Linked DNA regions of Alligator mississippiensis. The protein of the gene in region 1 interacts with the protein of each later gene in a pairwise test. Links are inferred from orthologs where the notes say so. Each region holds a gene or a part of one and is shown on either strand. Other genes may lie near its edges.

Region 1 (7,563 bases):
CTGAACTCTATAAGCAAGAAAAACTTCAGTGTTCCCTTCAGTGAAATACACACCACTGTAACAATTTAGAGCAGGATAAGATCTCAGAAATACCTATTTTCTAAAAACATGCCAGGTGGTCTGGACTATTGATATCCAGCTGAGATGCGGGATCAAATAATATACTTAACCCAGCTGTAGCTAAATCAGGACACATTGGTTAAGAAAATCCTGTTCAGTTCTTGGAGAGGGAAAAGTGTCATGATATCATAAGATCTTCCTTCCAATAACAAACCATAATCAAGATGTCTGTTTGTCTCATCTGAAAGAGCAGTGTAGTATTCTCAGGTTTCATAATGAGGTTCAGTCCTGGATGATAGGAAAGAATGGGGAGTATTGAATCATTTACCTGCAGGAAAGCAGATTTGTTTTTTTTGTGGGTTCTCATCAAGTACTCACCAGATCTAATTGTGCTTGATTTGAGATTATTTGAACACAAAGCCTTGGAGAACAGAACTGCAGGGAACTCAGCAGAATAATGCAACTGCAAAGCATACTATTAGAAGTCCTGTTGCCATTTTGAATGTAACTTTACTCTTACTAAATTCTAAACCTGGCTCCAGGATGCATTTGTATGAATGTTTCATGCAGTTAACTCAAGACCAGCTCCAAGATTGTGATCTCCGTGTATGACTGCACCCACTTCAGACAGGGCTGAGCCTAAGTCACATCTAAATCTGGGTGTGATCCAGAAACTAGGTATTCCTCCACATTGGCCCCCGGAGGACTTGATCTCAGAGCACACCTGTAAGATTTGGCTGCTAACCAACAACTGAAGTTGCAGATACCTTTCTTTTACAGTATAGATAAAAGTAGTGATGTTTGGAGCACTCCTTAGAGAAGTGGTGCAGTCAGATTTAAAACCCTTCCTAGCTGAAAGGGTTCAATCCCTATGTCCCAGGAGAATCCCCATAACCCATGTCTCAGGCCTGTTTTACCAGGCCATAGGCAGTTGGGCATTCCTTTTCCTGAAGCGATGCCAATGTGCAGAAAAGAATTAAAGCTTCATTAGCTAGAAAGGGAAGAAAAAGGGAGCATGACACTAGACTTGTGATAAGTATACTCACCAGGGAGACCTGGAGCCTAATCCCCGAATGACAGTTGCAAAGGAGGTGCAACAAGTGTTATTTGGCACAGCAGTGTCCAAATGAGATGTGGAGGTAGCTAACTTGGATACATCAGCTAGGGTTTGCCAGGAACACCTACATACCTTATACAGGCAGTCCTCAGACTTACGACACAATTGGTTCCTGAAAACCGTGTCTTAAGTCGAAACGTTGGAACTAGTAACCAATTTTCTCATAAGAAACTATGTTATAAATGGGGGATTGGTTCCTGAACCAAGGCCCAGTACCCTATTTTCACCAAAAATACCCTAGAATTTTGTATTCGATCAATTATAGATGAGTAATGTAGCTACATTAATATATTTATATTGTAAATAACAATCATAATGATTTGGAAGGACTTCCTTGAGGTGACTTTGCTGGACTCTTTAAAGGGCTCTTGGTTGGACTTTTTGAAGGGTTCTTGGCTGGAGTCTTCTCAGGAGTCTTGGCTGCAGGTTTTTCTGGAGTCTCGTCTGCTTTCTTAAAGAAAGTGTCCAAGGAAGTTTGGACAGATGTTCTCCAGGGAGATGAGTGAAGCCGCGAAGTTGTTCGTTGGCATGGCATTGCATTGGATCAAGCGTTGCAAGTCAAAATTGGTGTTGTAAAGTTGAAACAGGGTGTCAATTTATAAATGTTGTAAGTGCAAAATGTTGTAACTCAAAACGTTATCAGCTGAGGACTGCCTGTACATTTCTGGGGTGTGGCTCACACTTAAGCCCAGCAGAAGCTTCCCGGCTTTGAATTCAGATATGATCAGTGCTGTGAATTAAAATTGCAAATTCACCAGAATAAGCTAAACAAGTTGCTTGAAATCTGTAGATAGTAAAATCAGTAAAAATGTAGATGGTGAAATATTACACGTGGTAAACAAATGCATGCTCCTCAGTATGCTTCGTTGCATTGACAATATGTTGTCATTAGAAGCCCCCAGAGTCACTAGATCTACTGACAAAAATCACTGAATTGGCAACGTTAGAAGTTGGGTGCAAATTACGGGGGAGCTTGGGGAGGGGAGGAGGAGGCAGACACTCCCCATAAGAGACAAGAGCCCCCCTGTACGATTTGAAAATCATAACCTGGGGGGGTCTCCAATTGGATTGCTCCTTCCAATGAACCAGTTTAATTTTTTTCGCAGACCCCCCCCAGTCAAAGTGTAATCTGAACCCTGACTAGAAGTAATGGGTGCATCCTCCTGCAGCCAGAAGGAAAAGCCTAAAACCCTGTGAAGGGATGGAAAGTAAACTACTCTGCTGTCTCCAGGACTCCTGGGGGCTGGTTTCATGCCTCCCCATGCAGCATGCTGCCTATTGTGAATCCCATACTGAGGTGCAGTTCTCGGGCACTGTACAGGCAGTCCTCGACTTACAACATTTTGAGTTACGTTTCACACTTATAACGTTAATAGATTGACACCGTTTCAACTTTTTGACGTCCGTTTCGACTTTACAACACTTGATCTGACCTGACGCCATGCCAGTGAACAGATTTGCTGTGCCGCCCATCTCCCTGGAGAACATCTGTCCAAACTTACTTGGATACTTTCTTTAAGACAGCAGACAAGACTCCAGAAAAACCTGCAGCCAAGACTCCTGTCAAGACTCCAGAACCCTTCAAAAAGTCCAACCAAGAGCCCTTTAAAAAGTCCAGCAGTCACCTCAAAAAAGTCCTTCCAAATCAATATGAATGCTATTTACAATATAAATATATTAATGTAGCTATATTACTCATCTATAATTGACTGAGTACAAAATTCTGGGTTATTTTTGGTGAAAATAGGGTACTGGGCCTTGGTTCAGGAACCAATTCCCCATTTATAACATTGTTTCCTATGGGAAAATCGGTTCCGAGTTGCAACGTTTCGACTTAAGATGCGGCTTTCAGGAACCAATTGTGTTGTAAGTCTGAGGACCGCCTGTATAGGTACTTTATCCAGAGCAGTGTATTGAACTCCAGGAGCAAGAAGCTCAACCTTTATGCACTGCAATATTTAAGTCCCTCCAGCCTTAAGTTCCTCCAGTCAGGGTCAGACCAGTCTAGTTGGGGTCAGGAAGGAATTTTACACCATGGTCAGTTTGGTATGTTTGGGTGGCTGTTCCAGGAGCCTGGGCACAAATCCAGCTTCGCCCTGATAACCTGCCCAAGGGGGAGAGGTTGGCCTTCCTCTGTAGCAGGGCGGCACGGCTTTCTCCTTGGGATCTCTTGAGCATAAAATGACATTCCATAGAAGTAAGACACTGGCTACCATGGATCCCCTGCTTTACCTGTGGCACAGGTTACGGTGTTAGGTCTGTGCTGTGTCTTTGTTGATGGTAGTCTTAAATAAAGTTTATATCAGGGGTGGACAAAATATGGCCTGTGGGCTGGATCTAGCCTGTCAACATACTTGGCAGGCCACCAAACTCAGTGGATCTGGCCTGCAGCTGGTGGCTCCAGCTGCTGTGGTTCCAGGTGGGCGGGTGGCACTGTTTCTGCCCAGCAGCATCAGCTGTGGACTCAGGTGAGGCCTTCTACCGCAGCAGGTGGGCAGCAGCATCAACTGTGGACACCACCGGCAGGTTCAGGAGCCCCAACTGAGAACCTGCTGGTGGATGCACAGCTGATGCTGCCACCTTCCCAGCACAGTAGAAGCTCCTGCCTTGAGCCCCAACCAGGAACCTGCTGCCAGTAGCAGCTGTGGACCCAGGTAGCAGCTTCAGTGGCACTGGGTTGGCGGTGGTGTCAGCTGTGGCTGCTGCCGGCAGGTTCTGCATCAGGGCTCTTGAATCTGAAAGCAGTGTCCACAGCCTGCCTGCCCACCATGGCAGAAGTCCCCATCTGGGCCTACAGCTGGGCACTGGGGCTCCTGGCAAACTACAGCTCACACGAGGATCTGGAGGGAGGGAGAGAGAGGGATTAGGAGAGAAGAGCGAGACACAGAGAGAGGGATGCGGCCCTCAACGGGTCACCAAGACTCATGAGTGGCCCCACAGCAGAAATACCTCCTCCCCCCTAGCTTAGATTGTGAGTTGTAGGGGACGGTTTGGATAGGGACAAGAATGCTCCTGCCTCAGGCAGCGGGTTGGACTAGCGGAGCCCTGGAGGGCCCTTCCCGCCCCGCTGCCCCAGGCTCGCTTTTCCGTCCTGGGTTAGAGGGAGAGGTGCCGAGAGGAGCGTGGCTGCTGCCTGGAGCCTCGTGGCGGGCCGGTTCCCCAGCGGGGGGGGTTTGACTACTACTGTTCGTGACCGGGGTTTAGTTGCAGCCGCTGGCTTCCAGCCCCGCGGGGAGCCTTCCCGCCCGTCTCCAGCCCCGGCCCGCGGGGCCGCCCCGAAGGACGAGCGCGCCCTGTGCCGGCCCCGGCCCGGGGGAAGCTGCGCTGCGCGCCGCGGCGGACCAGCGCCGGCCTCGGCGGAGGGGAGCGCAGCGCAGCGGAGGCCGGGCCGCCCCGAGCCCGCGGAGACGGGGCGGGCGGCAGGGCACTGGCCAAGCCTCGGCCCTGAGCCGTGGCGGGGGGTCGGGTCCGGCTGTCCCCCCGGGCCGGGTTATGAACTTCCCCCCCGCGCCGGTGGATCCCGCCGCCGGGGGAGGGGGCCGGGCAGGAAGGGGCGAGGCGAGGCGGAGCCGGGCCGGCCTTGGGCTGCGGCAGCTTCGTGGGAGCCGGGGAGAGACGGTGGGAGCCGCGAGCCCGGCAGGTAGGCGCGGCGCGGCGCCGCCCAGGGCCTCCCGCGGGCCGGGGCCGGGGCCAGGCCGGTGTCTCGGGCTGCCGTCGGGGGGGGGCGCTGCCCGCGGCCGCCGGCTCCTCGGCGCGGGGCTCCGGGCTGGCAGGCGGCGGAGGTGGCCCCGCAGTGACAGCGCCGAGCCCCCCGCGGCGCCTCCCCCCGGGCCGGGGTCGCTGCCTGCGCCGAGCCCCGCCACCCGCTCGCCGCCCGCCCCTCGGAGCTGGGCCGCCCGACGCCTCCCCCGCTCGTAGCCCCGCTTCCTGAGCCGAGTCACATGTCGGGCGGTTGTTTTCCCTTGCGGTCCTTATCGCTAACTCCGAGCTGCCGCCTGCGTGGGGCCCCGGACATGGTTTAAAGCGGGCTGGGGGCGCCGGGCTCCCCCGGGAAGCCTTGGACGCGCGTCGGCCCGGCGCCGGGCTCGCCCAGGAGGGAAGCGGGCGCCGCTCACTTGGGCTTAGTTCGGCTGCTCGGGACGAAGTGACCCTGCGGCTCCTTGGGCGTTTTTTAAGGAAAAAGCCCCCCCTCGCCCCCCCATAGTTGGCTCTAATTCCAGAGAAAAACCTTGGCCTGCAATTGGCCCTTAAACAGCCCAGTTCAGAAGTGAGTCACCAAGGCAAGGACCCAAAGGGGGAAAGGCACTAAAAATACTAAAGTGAACATTGAAAAAAAATGTGACTTGGTATTTTTATTGCATGTACAAAAACTACTGGAAGTTCAAAAGTCAAGACTGGGAGGGAGCCCGATGTAGACTGACGGTGTGCCAAAGTCAAGTTCAAGTCTGGGTTTTTAGGAGGAAAAAGGCAGACTTTTACCATCTAAACAATAGGGGAATTTGGTGCTCAGGTTTAATGAACTTTAATTAACAGGCTTTAAGGTCACACCTTCAGTTAATTCAACTTCACTTTTCCAAGCGACTCAGTGGACACAAGCTCAAAAAGAAGCAAAAGTGACTAGGTCGTGTACGTACCTGGTTGTATTACAAGTGCAAAAACGCGGGGCCAGAAGCACAAGTTTCATCAGATAACATTTTAATAAGCAAGTAAGATATTTTTAAGAGGAAGTTTTGAGATAGGAAGCTCAATAATAGAAATCAAATAACTGATATATTTTTATTTTTAAAATGCACAGTGCTGTTGTTCCTGTATCTAAGCTTACAGAATTCTTTAAATTATTCCATTTATTGCTTCTCAAATAACATCATAACCTGCAATGTTTGAAACCAATACCCAAAGCCAGAGCAGAATTCCAGTTATGCCAGTCATAAAACTTCTTCAGTAGGACGCTATATAGGATCCTGCTTTTGAAGGGCATCGCCACACCCAGAGACCTACTCAAATTCACAATTTCATGGAACCTGTGAAATTGGGCATTGTTCGTGAAATCCTCTAAATTAAAAAAAATCCTAAAAATAAAATGCTGGCCTCCCAGTGGGAGGGCAAGCTGCTGGCAGGCAGAGTGGTCCCTGGGCTGCAAGGGGGGGTGTTGGTGCTTCCCTCCACAGCAGTGGTGGACCCCCTCCAGGAGGCACCGGGCTCAGGTGGTCCCGGGGGTCACTGCAGCCGTGGAGGGAAGGATCAAGTCCCCGTGCAGGCTCTCTGGGAGGGTGTGGGGAATCAGGCTTACCGCTTTTCTTTTCTTTTTTTTCTTCGGTGGAGCCTGTCTTTCTGGGCTGCTGCCTGGCTGCTTACACGAACTGCCTGCACAGCCCCTGAGCCGCACGGAGCCTGGTGCTTCGCTCCATGGCTGTAGGGCAGCAAACTAAAACTCCTTGGAGGTGTTAGTTTGCTGCGCCCCAAAGTCATTTAAGGTATATTACGCCACGAAATGTGCTACAGCAGCTGGAATTAACGCACAATACGCCACTGATGTGTGCAAACACCAATGCCATTAAAGCGGTGCAAAAGCATTTAACTTGCTTTAAAGTGTCGTGCACACATGCCCAATAGCAACTGCCTGAAAAGGATTCTGTTTAACTAAGTAGTTGACAAGTTATGGAAAGCCTTATTGTTCAGAACATGAAAAACTTTATCTGTACAAGTGTTTATTAGTTTGTTGCTCTTCTACTGAAAAATTTTGGGTGCCCTGACAAACCAGTATATATAGTCTGGTGTCAGAGGGAAAGACTAGTTTATGTCTGTGTTTTCGTAAGTGTCACTAATGACAATGATGACACCTAGATACGTCTGTGCTGCACTGTGGGGAGGGCCACGTACATAAGCCATGTGCATGTTCGGGTGACTAGCGCAGGACTCACTAGTGAACAAGAGCCTGAGTAGTTGAAACCAAAACAGAGAAGGGCAGGTCAGACATTCAGAGGTCAAGAGGAGGGGGCAACCATTCCCCCCCACCCCGATGGATTTGAGATTCACTTCATACTAGGAAAATACTTTGTATTTTTTAGATCATTCTCTTGATTCTTTTCCTTACCAAGTATACAGGTGAGTTTTATTTCTTCTACTTTTTCACTCCAAGCAGTGCCTGCCCTAGTTCTGATAAAAGATATAGGTTTCCTTCACTTTATGTGGCTTCTGTATGTGCAAATTTGCTCTTATGAGACTATCCTTTTTATACCAACAATTTGTTACATGCGAGGCAAATTCATTCTTATGTGACTGGTGTTGTGCAAATGCACAGTCAGCTGCCATGTGCAGTGCATCGTGGGAGTGACGCACAGCAAAATATAGTCTCCTGTGTGGATCTGTGCTCCTTGCTTGTCTGC
Region 2 (7,509 bases), on another chromosome or scaffold:
TTATCAAGGATTTGCAAGGCAAGCCATATGAGGAAAAGCTGAGGGACCTGGGCCTCTTTAGCCTAAGGAAGAAAAGGTTGAGAGGGGACTTGATAGCGGCTTACTGCTATATCAGAGGAGTGCATCAGAAACTCAGTGAACAACTGTTCACTAGGAGACTCCCAGGGAAGACCAGGACCAATGGGTATAATCTCCCGGAAGGCCACTTCAGGCTTAATACCAGGAAAAACTCCTTCAGTCAGGGCATCCAGAGTGTAGAATACACTCTGTCCAGAGGTGGTACAGTCACCTACCCTGGAGGTTTTTAAAAGGAGACTGGACAATCACCTCACTGGGGTCACTTGACCCCAGTTGTTTTCCTGCCTAGACCAGGGGGGCTGGACCCAATGATCTGCGAGGTCCCTTCCAGCCCCTAACAATCTATGAATCTATTAATCTACTTTCAAATGTTGAGGAATACAGAACATCTTCAGGTATCTGGTCTAGGAATACAGTCTGGGACTCTGCCAAGCATATCCCTCCTGCAACATGGTGGCAAGGCCTCTGTATGACACAGCCTCCGACTCCTGTTGCTTCTCACCTGCTTCAGATTCCTCCATCTTCTGCAGCATGTGAAAGAAACTGGTCTGTGTTTGGAAATACTCACACCAAATCAAGAAATAAACTAACATGTGAAAGAGTAGAGAAGCTTGTCTCAATCTGGGGAAACCTTCAGTTTTCAGAAGCCCATGAAGATGATAAAAATGAAGGATCAGAAGAAGCAGAAATTGCTGATAGTGATAGCTCAAAAAATGAGACTAGGTAGACTAAGTTTCATGTAGCAAAATTTGTATTCAATGAGTCTTGGTTTGTTTTTTCCTTTTTTTTTCTCTACTCTTTTTCTAAAAATGAGTGCTTTCTGTATCTGCTTGACACTGTGGAGGAGACTAAGTCCAGAATACAAAATAGCTGTTTTTGTTTTACTATGGTGTTGATGGTTTTTTCTATTTTCAACTTTAATTTTTGCCTGCTTCTCATAAACTGGCAAAAATTAAGAGATGCTAGGTTCCTTAGAGTTCAGCAGCTTGTAGCTCCTTTTGTAACAAAAATTTAAAACATTTTAAAGTAAATTAATTTAGTAAATGTGTAATTACTGTCTGAATAAACTATACTTTTAAATTTAATGAATATACCAAAAATTATAATTTTATGAGCAAACCAAGTTATAAATAATACATTTTATGTTCTTAAAGTAGCAAAGTGAATTTAGATCTGTAAAGGGTGATAAGAAAATAAGTACTGCATATACTTCAATTTTTCCTCAAATTTCTGTTTTTTTCCAAAAATAATCCGGAAAAAAAATGTTTTTTCTCATGGCTTCAAAATTTCCAGAAATTTTACATCTCTAATTAGGATTCTAATTAGCCACACATACTGGTAATTAAATTCCTCTAATCAAAAGATAAAACATCAAGTTGTTATGGCTATTACCCCTAGAAACTATTAGTGTTTTGCAAAATTAAGTATCTGTACCTGACCTAGTCCAATACTACTTACATTGACCAACAGACTTTAGTCTACTTTTCCATGCTACTGCTTATGGCTAAAATATAAACTGAAGCATATACTATCATAATTTAGGCTTATGCTAGGTCTAAAACCTGTACTTGTCATTGTGGTGTTTCAGTCACTGACCACTCCTGGCACCCTTTAAAAGATCTGGTGGCACCCAGGGTGTTCCAGCACTCTGGTTTAAGTAAGTACAGTGTTAGAAAGCAAGCAGATAAACTAAGCAGATACATGCAGGCTCAGGCATGTCTCTGTCTGGACAACTCCTCATTCCCACTGCCAGGCCCTTCTGCAAGGCAGTGCTTACACTGTACTATATACATTAATTTTTGAAACTGGGTGCCACTCAATTCACAAAAGACATGGTGGGGTGCCTCAAGTCCAAAAAAGGTTGAGAACCCCTGGTTTAACCTATTTGTAAAACAATATAGTCAACCCTGACACAACCACAAGGCATAACACCCTAACCTGCCACAGAAACGGGACAACAGTGGCCAGTGAAGTCCCTGAATTAGGTAAGAATCCCTCCCTTCCCCTTCCCCTCCATGCTTAGAGGCATATTTCCTCCCCACCTTCCATTGTCACTGTCTCTGGCTAACCTGGGGTGGGGATGGGAAGGTGCTCTAAAGCTGCTTCTGCTCAGCTCAGGCTGAGCTAGGTGGGGAGCTGGGCTCAGCTGGAGACAGTGGAAGCAGCAGCACTAGGTGGGTTCCTCCTGCCTGTATCCACCCAAACCCAGGAGCAGGGTCAGGAGAGGAACCCACCTACTGTCACTGAGCCTGGCTCCCTGCACAGCCCAGCTGCAGTGGTGCAGGAGGACAGTGACCAATTGGGAAATGGGGGGGAGGGGAGATGCTGCTGAGCGTGGAAGGGAAGGGAGGTTGTGTTGAGAGCAGTGGAAGAAATTCTTACCTTATTCAGGGACTTCAAAAAGGTGCCAGGTGGTGCTTCTATGTCATGGTCTGCCCATCCTGGGGAGGGGAGAAGCTGGAAGTAGGGGGTGCATCCACCCCTGAATCTATGGTTGCTGGACCCACACCGCCATTTACAAAATTCTGGATCCATCCATGCCCCCCAGGCATGTTGGGAGAAATGTTTTCAAAGTTCTGTGGCTAAATGGGTACTTGTCTATCACTTGGTGGCTGGCTTTGCCCTTTATATGGCTCTTGTGATCCAAACGGGCAGACACCATACACGGAATACTCTCCAGTGTCAGCAGAAGCTCCACTGTATGTAAAGTGTTGTGCACCCCGAGAGCGCTGGTGCAACCCCTGTCAGGCTGCACTCCCCGCTTAGGCAACAGGTGCGGGGGGCAGGCGGGAGTGCTAGTGCCCCCCTACAAGTGCCAGCTGCAATGAAGCAGTGCATGAAGTGGCTGCAGTGGTCCCGGAAGTGCTTGCAGCCACTTTCAGGTAAGTGTGATTGGCCACGGGGGACACTCCCCTCCTGGTTGGTGAGATTGGCTGTGGGGGGACCCTCCCCGGTTGCTGACTGTTCACTGGGGGGGTGACCCTACGACTCAGATGGCACCAGTCACCCATGTGTCTCTCTCTTATCCTGCAAGATGAGACTGCACTCCTGATTTCTATTTCTGTTGCAGATACACTCTGCCTATTTGTGTTATGCTTGGTACAAGCCTCAGATAGGGGCAGGGACGTTGGGTGAGTGTGGGACCTGCTGTCTTCCCTCCTGTGCCAAGGGTGTACTCGGGTAGAATACATTTAAAACCATTTTGTTTAATTTCCACTTTGTCAAGGTGCCAGAGGCCTAAGGGCACAGGCATGGCTAAATTAAAGTCTGTTGATCTCTTGCTGCCTGTCCCTGCACGTCTGTGTCCATGTCTCTCTGTCTAAAGCAGAGCTTCTCATTCCTAACAGAAGGGCAGATGAGTTGAGAATATTTTGCCTTTCTCTAAAGTATCTCAAAACACTTTAATTAATTTGCACAGTTCTCATGGTGCTCTCCTCATTCTAGAGATGGGAACCTGCAGCATGGAGCAGAGAGCAAGTGATTTGGTCGGAGTGGCAAAGCCAGGCCTCAGAAGAGTTGGGAATGGATCGCAGGCCTACGGACTCTCAGGAACGTGTGTGACTGCAAGGTCATAGTATGATCTTTCCTCAGGCTTGGCGGAGGAGCATTCAGCCATATTTCAGGACCCCGCTTCTTGCCTTATTTACTTTTATCTTCTCAAGTCATTGATGATTTCTTCTCAGACTTTCCCAACCCAGCTGCTCCAACCTGCAGGCCTACTCCATCCCCAGAGTATGGGTCCCAAGGAGGCCAAGGTCAGCTTCTCCATCCCTATCCCTGGCTCGCATGCCAGGCTCCAGCAACCAAGTAGCAATGAACCACTGGGCTGGATGGACTTGGCACTGCCAGTGCCGTGCTCACTGCCTGGGACACCCGAGCCATTTACAATGCTAAGAAGGCGAGGCTGCCTCCTGGGAAGGCCCCATAGCACAGTCTAGCAAGGGTGCAGCAGCGATCCCAAGGCTAGAAGCGAGGGGCCTGCAGCAGCAGCGCAGCCCCGGGGACGGACAGGACCGCTGCCCCCACAGCGCCGTGCTGCGCAGCCTGGGGTGGTGGCTCCGTGAAGGGAGCGGCACTGAACGGGGTCCGAGCTTGACACGATGAAACAGCCAAAGAGGCAGCGCACGCCCCGCTTCGCAGCACCGAGGTAAGCTTCAGGACCCCGCCAGGGAGGGAGGGAGGAGCGGGCGGGGCGGGGCGGGGCGAGCACAGCGCCAGCGAGCCGGACCAGGGCGTGCGGGGCTCCAGAAGAAGCGCCGGGACTGCGGGGCTATGGGGGCCGAGCCGTGTTGACCAGCACCAATCAGAGAGAGGGGGCGGGTAACGGCACCACCTGAGCGGCGGGCGTGGGAGCCAATGGCCGCCGCTGCGGGTCAGCCCGTGGCGGCGTAGCCGGGCGTGAGGGGCGGGCCCGTTTCGTCTGGTCTGGTCTGGTCTGGTCTCGGGAGTGGGGCTGCGGGCGCCGCGCGGGGCCATGGACCGGGTGAGCGGCTCCATAAAGCAGGTGTCCAATCCGCTGCCCAAGGTGCTGGGCCGGCGCGGGGGGGGCAGCGGCCTGGACGTGGAGCGCGACGGCTTTGAGCGCAGCCAGGTAGCGGGGCCTGGGGCGGGGCCGCGGGGGCGGGGCGGGGCATGCCCGTCTGAGGCGCTGGCTGCTGGGCGCCCCGAGGCGGCGCCCCGTGTTGCGCTGGAGGAGCCCGGTCCGAGCTCAGCCGGCCGGGAGCAGTGGGGCCGGGCCGGGCTCTGGCCTGCGGAGAAGGTTTCCAGCAGGGGCTGATGCCGCAGGCGCTGGCGGCTCAAGACCGGGGCTGCGCGGTGGTGCTTGCAGAGCTGGAGCAGCCTGATCTTATTGGTCCTTTGGGAAGAGAGGGCAGAAGGCTTCTGGCTTCGGGGACCTCTCCTGTGCTGGCTGCTCTGGCGGTTGGAGCTGGACGCCCGTGCGGCTGTGGGTCTCCCACATCAGCACTGCGGGCGCACTTGCAGAGGTTGTGCAAACACAAGCACGTGGTCGCTGAAAAGGAGAGGTTTCCTTCTGGAGTTCAGCTCCAGACCCGCGTGCCCAGGGGCTAGTGCAAACCGGGATGTTCTCTTAGGCTGCAAACAGGCATCGCTTTTGTATCAGCCTTTTTCATGGTGACACAGAGCCCAAGCATGGAGACTTCTGTGCCCCTTGTTGTATCACGATTGCCCAAAATCGTGGCTGTGATATGTATTAAAATGTGCCTCTTTTGTGGCAGATGTTCATTTGCTTTGTGATGGAAGAGTAGGGGTGGCCTAGAGCTTCCTGCACTCTCCAGCCAAACTGGGCATATGTTCCCAAGGCTTTAGGAGCCCCTGAAGCCCTGGAAGTGCCTGCCCAGGTTCTCTCACTTTCAGGGGCACACCCTGGAAATCTCCCAGCAGGGCATTCTGCGGGTGCAAATCGTGCCCTGGTTTGGGGTGTACCTCTGCAAATGGGTTTCCTCACTTGCAAAGTCACACCCTGGAGATCTGGTAAGGGGACTTCCTCAAGCACAGGTGTGGTGCCATTGTTCCTGAGTCAGGACACATCCTGCAAATGAGGGAACGTGCAGTTCTTCCATTTGCAGCAGCATACTTTGAGCCAGGGTGAAGCAGCATGATTGCACACAGTATGGGTGCCTGGGGCATCCTCTGTCACGGGATTCCCAGGGTGGGCCTCTAACTGGGAGAACCCAGGAGCAGCAGCAGCGGTGCAGCCATGCAGGACAGTGGGTGGTATCTGTGTCACCCAGTGAAGCCCATCAGCTCTGCTGGGACACATCCTGGCACAGCTGATCCCACTTCAAGGACAAGTGTGTTTATAGCCCTAGTGTTAATCAATGCTGGTATCATTACATTGACTTATTGCACAATTCCCAAATAAGCTTTAAGTGTCTGTTTAATATTCAAGGCTCTTCAATGCGTCATGATGACCTGTGTTAATGGAGAGACAGAGTTAGTCATGTTAATCTGAAGTCAAGCAGAAGGCAGGGTAGATTTGCACTATATAAACCAGGGGCAGTTAATTATTTTGAGTGGAGGGCTGCTTAATGAGGTTTGGTGAGTTGTCAAGTAGCCCTGCTCCTTGACAGATGCCCTGCCCTTGACTTCTATCTTGGGACCGGAAGTTCCACCCCTAACCGCTGACAGAAATCCCTCCCCTTGCCCCCCTGCAAATATTCCTCTTGGAAGTGGGGGTTGCCAACTTAGAACCAGAAAAAAACCAAATCATACACTAAAAGTCAAATGCCTACTTTAACTTATTTTAATTTTATTACAAAAAATATTTTCATTGTGATTTGTGGTTGTGTGTTCTATATAGAGGTGACTGCACAATAACTCAAAAATAAATTCTTAGTCTTTTATATTGGGTGTGCTGGAGGTGGGGGGTGATGGGGATGTGTGGGTGATGGGGGGGTGTGGGGGTGTTTAGGGGTGTGGGTATGTGTGTGGGGGGGAGTTTGTGAGGGGGTATGGCTGTCTGAGGGGGCATAGGGTATGCTGGGGGGCTGCCGTGGGGGGCGGGGGGAGGTTCTGGAATACACTGTCTTCTGCAGTCAACACAGGCAACACTTGTGGGGGTATGCATCTGTCTATGTGTGTGCTTTGTGGGATGTGAGGGGTGTGGGGACCCCCCCCACACACACTTCCCCTCATTGTGCAGCAGCAGGTGGGGGTGATGGTGCCTGGCTCCGGCCAGCACTGCATGTTGCAGCAAAGAGTGCAGCCCTCGCCTGACCGTTTGTTTCCCTAGTACTCCCCGCGCTTACGGGGCACAGGAGTGAAGCTCCAGCATGGAGCTGGATGCTTTCCCTGCCCCAGCCCACTTCAGTACCTCAGGCTTTCCTCCCGTGCCTTGCAACTGTGTGGAGTGCTGGGGAAATAAATGGCCTGGAGGGGCCTCCTTATAGTGCTGGCCAGAGCCAGGCAGCAGTGCTGAGCAGAGCGCCCCCTTCCCTGCTGCTGCCCTGCCCCCCCCCCCTGCCAGGGCTGTGCATCATGGGGGCAGTATGGGAGGGGTCCTCATACCCCTCACACCCACACCTTGCCCACCCAAGCTCCTCACTGCTGCTGCCCAGGGGCACGGGCTCCACTGCAGCCAGCCCCATGCTCTGTGCTCCTGCCCAGCTGCAGCCCCACCTGCATCCCAGCGTCCCTGCCTGCTGCCCTGAAGGAGCGGAACACTGGAGAAGCCTGCAGCAGCAGTCCCGCCCTGTGCTAGCGGGGCTGGCCCTTCCGCCTGCAAGGGTGGGAGCGAAGCATAATAGGATATGTTGGGGGTGGGTATAGGTGCCTCACTTCTACCCTTGTGGGCAGAAAGGCTGGGCAGGATGCAATTCGTTGGGTGCTGTGGGCCAGATGAACGTGCCAGCTGGCTATATTTTGCCCACCCCAGTATAGGCTAACTAAAATAAATTTTCATCAGCCTGA

The links.
Region 2: the proteins of LITAF (region 1) and HIP1 interact in binary tests that used the Homo sapiens proteins (3 or more experiments, as listed by UniProt). The link is inferred for Alligator mississippiensis from reciprocal best matches to the Homo sapiens genes LITAF and HIP1.

Annotation. Positions count from the first base shown.
Region 1 is NC_081836.1:39,426,474-39,434,036, reverse strand, and holds the start of LITAF (lipopolysaccharide-induced tumor necrosis factor-alpha factor), read left to right. Parts: upstream 1-4,553; 5' UTR 4,554-4,669; coding exon 4,670-4,817; intron 4,818-5,769; exon of another isoform or gene 5,770-5,883; intron 5,884-7,563.
Region 2 is NC_081837.1:27,287,477-27,294,985, forward strand, and holds the start of HIP1 (huntingtin-interacting protein 1), read left to right. Parts: upstream 1-4,492; 5' UTR 4,493-4,552; coding exon 4,553-4,669; intron 4,670-7,509. UniProt on the Homo sapiens protein: Plays a role in clathrin-mediated endocytosis and trafficking. Involved in regulating AMPA receptor trafficking in the central nervous system in an NMDA-dependent manner. Regulates presynaptic nerve terminal activity.